2 linked regions of the Pelodiscus sinensis genome follow. The main gene of each other region encodes a partner of the protein of the gene in region 2 in a complex. Links are inferred from orthologs where the notes say so. Each region holds a gene or a part of one and is shown on either strand. Other genes may lie near its edges.

Region 1 (3,739 bases), on a different chromosome or scaffold from region 2:
GGAGCTAGAGTCCAGCGATTCCCTTTTCGTTTGCCATGACGGGAGCGGCAGAGCCAGCGGGAAGGATTCGATTCTTATCGATCGAGCCCAGCAAAGCTCGGTTTCCGCAGACACTCAACTCAAAAAAAAGAAAGGCGGGCTACTGACAGCAACAGCCAGCGGGGACCGCTTCTCGGGCTGTGGTTCAGGGTACTTGCTCTGCTTGGGTAGGCCATGCTGACAGCTGGTGCTTTAACAGTTACAAAGTTGACATTTTGTTACAAAGGTGCCCTGGGGCGGCCAGGCACCTGCTGCTGGGTCATGCTTCCGGACAGCCGCCAGCGGGGGTCACCCACAGCCCATGCAGAGCAACCAGCAAGGGACTGACTCTACACCACACAACATCACCCAACTTAGTTCCAGCTTCACCAGCCCCTCCCATCACCCAGCCGCCAACAGCCTGCCAGGCTGGACCAGCAGCCAAGTGCAGGATTGCCCCAGGGTGCTGGAGATGGGGCAGAATTGGGGGTCAGATGTGGTAGGACCAAGTAGGAGGGAGCGGAGGGGCAGTGTGAGAGTCTGGGTTGGGGCGGGGGGCAGAGAGCGTAGGGAGAGAACTGGAGCTGCCCCCTGCCCCAGATCCCTGCCCCCAAATAAGGCCTGACTTACCGGCTGGCGGGCAGTGGCTTCCCCCATGGGACCTGGGCCTGACCCGTAGAACCACGAGGAGGAGGAGGAGGAAGATTCTTCGTAAGACTCGCTGTCCACATCTGGGGGGGAGGAGTGGGGTGAGATAGGGGCTGGGCGTGGCTCTTCTCCCCCCACCCCCCCAGAGCACCACCCCTGGAACTCCCTGGTGCAGGAATGTCAATGTGGCCTGGGGGACGGGGTGGGGATGGGGTGTCAGGCCCAGGCCTGAGAAGTTACAAAGCTTCCCCTCCCCTCTGTGTTCCCACACATCCTCCCTGCTCTGTACCCCCCTTGCACCCGCACCAGAGGAAATGCCTGCCCCCCTCACCATCCCCAAGGTAGCTGGTGCGACCCTCTCGGCGAGGAAAATCATACAGCTCCCGCGTGTACGTCCTGGTGGGGCTGGATATCTGGAGGCAGAGACACACAGGAGGGATTAGTGGGAGGGCACCTTTAGCCCCCACCCCCATGGGAGAAAGGAACCCCCAGATGCCCCAACCTTTGTACCCCAAGTCCAGGAAAACTGCCATGCCCCTCACTCCCAACCCACAGTCTGCTGCTCATCCCAGCCTGAGCTCTGCCGGCGCCCCTCACTTGCCACCCACAGCCCCTGCCAGCCCAGCCCCCCCCTCCGGCCCTGCCCGACCCAGGGTGCCCACCCCCCAAGCTCTGCCCACGGCCCTCACTCCACCCCGCAGCCCCTCTCACTGTCGTCCCCGTAGCGGTGCCGCTCCTCTGGTGGGCGGTAGCTGTAGGATTCCTGGATGTAGGTCTTGGTAGTGCTGGGCTCTGGACACACAGAAAAGGGGGGGGGGGGGAGGGTGTCAGCGGCTACGCTGCTGGCTCCTCCCCAGCCCTCCTGGCCCCCCACTCACCCGAGTAGCTCACAGACCCCCCAGGGGCGACAGCTTGGTGCGCTGGCTCTCGAACTCATAGATCTTCTTCTCATAGAGCTTCCGGGTCGATCCTGGGGGCCGGGAGACAAGGGGGGGGGGGTCAGGTGGGCCCACGGTGCCCTGCCCCCCACAGCTCACAGAATGTCTCTGCCCCCCCCCCATCCCTGCTCCGCCTGTTCCCATCACACCCCGCTGGCTGCCCCCCAGAGCCTGCTTCTCTTGCCTCCCCACGGCCCCCCAGCGCCCCCCCCAGATCCCCCCTCGCGGCCCCCCAGCCCCCCCCAGATCCCCCCCCGCGGCCCCCCCCAGCTCCTCCCTCGCGGCCCCCCAGCGCCCCTCCCCCCCGTACCCACGACGGGCCCGTGCGCGATGCCGTAGCGCTGCAGCCGGGCGACGAGCTCGGTGTCCGACAGGTCCCGGTACCGCTCCATGGCGGGCGGGGCGGGGCGGGCGCTTCCGGCGCGGAGCGGGCCCAGGAGGCGCCAGCGGCGACAGGAAGTGACACGCGGGGGAGGGGCCGGCAAGGGCGCAGCGCGCCGCCCCGAGCAACGCCCCGCCCCGCTGGGCCCGCCCTAGCAACGCCCCGCCCCGCTCGGCCCGCCCTAGCAACCGCTCGCCCCGCCCCGCTGGGCCCGCCCTAGCAACGCCCCGCCCCGCTCGGCCCGCCCTAGCAACGCCCCGCCCCGCTCTGCTCGGCCCGCCCTAGCAACGCCCCGCCCCGCTCCGCTCCGCTCGGCCCGCCCTAGCAACGGCTCGCTCGGCCCGCCCTAGCAACGCCCTAGCCCGCGTGTCCGCCCAGCTTCCCCCCCCCCTCCCTGGCAACGGTCTCGCGCCCCTCGCAACGCCCCCTCCCAGCTGGGGAACTCCCCGCCCGCCCCGCTGAGCCCGGGCGCCTGGGTTCTGGGGGGGGGGGCAGGGCGCCTGGGTCCTGGGGGGGGGCAGGGCGCCTGGGTTCGGGGGGGGCAGGGCGCCTGGGCCCTCGGGGGGGGCAGGGCGCCTGGGTCCTCGGGGGGGAGCAGGGCGCCTGGGTCCTCGGGGGGGAGCAGGGCGCCTGGGTTCGGGGGGGGCAGGGCGTCTGGGCCCTCGGGGGGGGCAGGGCGCCTGGGTCCTCGGGGGGGAGCAGGGCGCCTGGGTTCGGGGGGGCAGGGCGCCTGGGCCCTCGGAGGGGGGGCAGGGTGCCTGGGTCCTCGGGGGGGGGCAGGGCGCCTGGGACCTCGGGGGGGGCAGGGCGCCTGGGTTCGGGGGGGCAGGGCGCCTGGGCCCTCGGGGGGGGCAGGGCGCCTGGGTTCGGGGGGGCAGGGCGCCTGGGCCCTCGGGGGGGGGCAGGGCGCCTGGGACCTCGGGGGGGGCAGGGCGCCTGGGTTCGGGGGGGCAGGGCGCCTGGGCCCTCGGGGGGGGCAGGGCGCCTGGGTTCGGTGGGGCAGGGCGCCTGGGCCCTCGGGGGGGGCAGGGCGCCTGGGTTCGGGGGGGCAGGGCGCCTGGGTCCTCGGGGGGGGGCAGGGCGCCTGGGTTCGGGGGGGCAGGGCGCCTGGGCCCTCGGGGGGGGCAGGGCGCCTGGGTTCGGGGGGGCAGGGCCCCTGGGCCCTCGGAGGGGGGCAGGGCGCTCACCGCCCCCAGAAGGCCGCGGGAGATACGAGCCCGTGTGACTCATCACTTCTCCTTGGCCAGTTTCGATTTCCCCACGAGCGCCCCGCCCCCCCGCCCCCCCAAACAGGTGTCCTGCCCTCCCGCAGCTCACACAGCGCCAGGGCACCGCGAGAGACACTCCTGCAGGGAGAGCGGGGCGCCTGCACACACTGGGAAACTGAGGCACGCAGTCACTGAGCAGGTGAGTGTCCTGGTCCCCCCCCCGCCCTAACCACTAGACCCCACTCCCCTCCCATTGCTGGGGACAGAGCCCAGGAGTCCTGGCTCCCAGCCCCTCCCTCCCCCGCCCTAACCACTAGACTCCACTCCCCTCCCATTGCGGGGGGGATGGAGCCCAGGAGTCCTGGCTCCCAGCCCCTCCCTCCCCCGCCCTAACCACTAGACCCCACTCCCCTCCCATTGCTGGGGACGGAGCCCAGGAGTCCTGGCTCCCAGCCCCTCCCTCCCCCGCCCTAACCACTAGACTCCACTCCCCTCCCATTGCTGGGGACAGAGCCCAGGAGTCCTGGCTCCCAGCCCCTCCCTCC
Region 2 (3,739 bases):
AGCTCCTTGGGCTGGGGGCTGCTCCAGCTGGGCTGGAATAGTCTCCAACCTGAGACGCTGCTTATTTAACTGGTTAAACATTAAGTTAACCAGTTAAACATTAGGTTAACTGATTAATGCTGATTATACATCCCTCGCATGCATGCAATTAACTGTTCTTTCCTAAGTGGAGTACTTTATATTTATCCATATTGAATTACATACTATTTACTTCAGACTATTCCTCCAGTTTATCTAGATCATTTTGAATTTTAATCCTATCTTCCAAAGCACTGGCAATGCCCCCCAGATTGGTATGGCCTACAAATTTCCAGTTTTCCAGTCAACTACGCACCCACTTTGTAGTAGCGCTATCCAAATTGTAATTCTCTAGTTTATGAAAATGTCATGTGAAATATATCAAAAGTCCGACTGAAGTCAAGATACACCACATCTACTGCTTATCCTCAATCCACAAGGATTGTTACACTCTCAGAAGAAACTAGTAGTTTAATTTGACTCTGTATGTTCTTGACAAATACATTCTGCTACTGGTGCTCCCTGTAAACTGGAAGCTTGTGCGGGCGCAACTGATTAGCAGAAAGCCCATTGCTAGGTTTGTGTTTCTTACTTCCTTGATGCACATAAAAATGATTCCATACATGAATTAGGGATGTTAAGGACTAGTCGACGATCCGATAAGCAAATGCTTATCGGATCATCGACTAGTCGCTTCCCCCTTCCCTTGCTGCCTCTATCAAATCCTTTCGTTTCTACTACACCGAGTTGCTTCTGGGGTCATGGAGTCAGAGCTGCCTTGCTCACTCTGGGTGTACAAGTCTTCCTCAGGCATCCAATTCAAGTGGACTCACTGGAGGGGAGCTCAAAGGTTCAGCAGGATTGCTGACTGCTCTGAGGTCTAGTTCCAAGAGGCAGCAAAGTCAAGGGGCTTACACCAGTGAGTATGTGAGGTCCTAAAGGGACCTAAAAGGGCCCAGAGCAGTAAAGAGCATCGAGCCCATGGATCTGTGACACCCCCAACAAAGACCCCTGAATTCCCTACTTTCTGCAGAACATCCAGTCTCAGTGATGATTTCATTCCTTCCATGTGCACCCTCAGCCCTAGCCTTACATCCAAATACCAACAAACCCCTTGCACAGACTCTGCAGCCATTCTCTCCATCCCTCCCAAAAGACGCCTTTTTTCCAGGCATCCTCAGCCCTTTTAGATCCTGCACTTGGCACGTCTTCACCAGATAAAGCTTCCTTTATACATATCCTCACCCTCCCTTCCCGTGTCCTAGCACTCAACCCAACTGCCTACCTCCCAGACCTTCTTTCCACACATTCAGCAACACCTTCCACTACCTTGTTCCCATCCCAATCTTTGTCAGACAATTTCCAACCCCCAAGAGGTACCACTCATCACTACAGGTACTCCCAGCATTCCCAGACACACCAGCTATATACCACCAATCCCTCTCTTATCACCAGAAGTCCTAACTCATCACACCTGCCCAACAACCTGAGCACTATCCTTTACCAAAAAAAAAAAAAAAAACCCCACACACCCTAGTTTCAGGCTTCCACTCTACTTTTCCTTTCCCCACAATGTAGCCCAGCAGATAGAGCAGTGAACTAAACTCAAAAAGACTTGGGTTCTATTCCCAGCTCCAGCAGCTGACCTCAGCTTCCCAATCGCTAAAATGGACAATACTAACTCACCTTTACACCTCTTGAGAGCTACTAACGAGCAGAGTTAAGTAATGATTACTACCAGCACTAGCTAACAACTTCCCCAGGCCCATATCCCCAGCCCCACCTCCTAGAGATCTCCCCTCCCTATGGGTAAGGCCAGACCTCCCACTAGGAACCATCCTTGCAGAAGCCCCCCCCCCGAACACTCCAATCCCTTCCTCGGGCATCCTCAGCCAACCTCCCTCCCCCCTCTTCTCCCCAATTCATCCCACCCTAAATCACACCAGGATATACCCAGCCCTTCCCCGCGCTCCTCTCCGCCCCCCCCGGCCGCGCCCTCGCAGACACATGCCCAGCTACCGCCCGCCCTCCCCAGAGGCCCCTGAGCGCTCCCCGAACTGCTCCTTCCCCCACGCCTCAGGTTCCCCCACTGGCCCGTTCCCGCCCTCAGCCGCCTTCATCCTGCCCGAGGCCCGCGTCCGACACCGCAGCGACCCACCAGCTCCGCTCGCTGCTGCAGCGCCTCAAACACCGCCGCTCCCGCCCAACCGGCCACCCACTGCGCCTGCGCAAACACCACTTCCGCTTCCAGGCCACGCCAGCACGCGCTCCTCTTCGCGCCCCATATAACCATAGAGAGTAGGCGGCGCTCTATAATGCTCTAGTCCCAGCCAGGAGCGATCCACATCTGCTCTATGATTCCCAACGGCTCTGGGCCGCTCCAGCCACCTTTGGATGATAGAGTTCAGCATCTACACTCTAGGCAACTGAAAACTCTGTGATACCAACTCATCCTCCCGGTCACAGTAACCGACGGCGCGAGGCAGCCTCTGACGCTGCCTGTGGTCCGCGACAACCCCTCCATCCCATAATAATAGCCCTGCCCGCGGGGCTGCCTCGGGAGCCCAAGGAGAGCATCAGGGGACATCATGGTGGGGGGAGGGGCTCCCGGAAGTGAGACAGGAAGCGCCCGGAACACCCGGAAGTTTACGCTGAAAGGTTTGGGGGAGGTTCAGGACTTGGAGCCGGAAGCGGGTGACTCCGTCCCATGTGCAGAGAGGTAGGGACGGGAGGCGGCAGCCCCTCACCCCCCCCCCCCCAGTCCAGCCCCTAGGAGCAGCGGCAGTTTTCTCCCCCGGCCAATGAGCGGAACAGGGAACTCCCGGGGGCGTGCAGGGCAAGGCGCTCCCTGCCCCCAGCACGGCGACATGGACTAGCCCGAGAGGGGATCTGGCCGTCACAGCTGGGCGGGGAGGTGGAGAATCCAATGGGATTAATCCCACCCTGGGGGAGCGGAGCCCGACCCCTGGGTTCCATTGTAGCTCTGGGAGAGGCCTGGGGGCTTGAAGCGTAGGGCAGGACTGCAGTGAGTCTCAGCACGGACTGGCATCTTCTTATATGAGGAAACTGAGTCACGGAGCTGACAGATTTACTCGACCCCAACACATCTGTCTCCAGTTGCAAGGAAGCCATAACAGGGTTAAGGCACAAAGTGACATTGGATCAATCTCTTTTTTTTGTTTCCATGATCTCCTATAGGATCTTTGTTTCATTCTGTGATGTAGATGAGATTTTACCTGGGAAGTTAATGCAGCCCTAAAGAATTAACTTTCTCATGCAAATCATCAGTAGAATTGCCTGAATGTTATTCTGTTATAATGTGTCTGTTCCTCAGTTTCACCTCCCACTGTTTGCCTGTGTGGTCCCTTCTCCTCTCCCTGCATCAGTTCCTTATTGACAATCCTTACCTCCTTGTGTTAAAACACTTTCAGATTCACAGCTAAAAAATTTTCAGTGGAATTCTTACTGTGGGAGACAATGTGTGGAGTTTGGCCTGAAAATTTCCAGCAGAATAGAGGAATCTTGAAGCTACCTCATTCCCTGGGTAAGGGAGTCTCAGTCCATTTCCACAAGCCATAAAATTGTCTTTGTTCCTAGAGTATCCAGTGCCAGTGAATGCCTCCAAGAGTGAATTCAGCGCTGGATCCTCAGCTGTCAGAGACGGACAGCCTCTCTTTATCCTCCACACAGGTACTGGTACTCCTGGCTTCCTCTGAGAGAA

The links. The genes of interacting proteins can lie anywhere in the genome.
Region 1: the proteins of BANF1 (region 2) and EMD are in contact, whole or in part, in a crystal structure (PDB 7NDY), measured with the Homo sapiens proteins. The link is inferred for Pelodiscus sinensis from reciprocal best matches to the Homo sapiens genes BANF1 and EMD. Residues at the interface, in NP_001137457.1 of Homo sapiens: Arg37, Phe39, Gln48, Val51, Leu52, Lys53, Asp55, Leu58, Glu61, Trp62, Asp65; in NP_000108.1 of Homo sapiens: Pro22, His23, Gly24, Pro25, Val27, Ser29, Thr30, Arg32, Leu33, Tyr34, Lys36, Lys37, Glu40.

Annotation. Positions count from the first base shown.
Region 1 is NW_027466045.1:56,769-60,507, forward strand, and holds the start of EMD (emerin), read right to left. Parts: upstream 2,162-3,739; 5' UTR 1,997-2,161; coding exon 1,915-1,996; intron 1,637-1,914; coding exon 1,562-1,636; intron 1,516-1,561; coding exon 1,505-1,515; intron 1,457-1,504; coding exon 1,378-1,456; intron 1,229-1,377; coding exon 998-1,228; intron 750-997; coding exon 649-749; intron 1-648. UniProt on the Homo sapiens protein: Stabilizes and promotes the formation of a nuclear actin cortical network. Stimulates actin polymerization in vitro by binding and stabilizing the pointed end of growing filaments. Inhibits beta-catenin activity by preventing its accumulation in the nucleus.
Region 2 is NC_134721.1:33,018,974-33,022,712, forward strand, and holds the start of BANF1 (barrier-to-autointegration factor), read right to left. Parts: upstream 2,486-3,739; 5' UTR 2,471-2,485; coding exon 2,467-2,470; intron 2,322-2,466; exon of another isoform or gene 2,177-2,321; intron 1-2,176. UniProt on the Homo sapiens protein: Non-specific DNA-binding protein that plays key roles in mitotic nuclear reassembly, chromatin organization, DNA damage response, gene expression and intrinsic immunity against foreign DNA.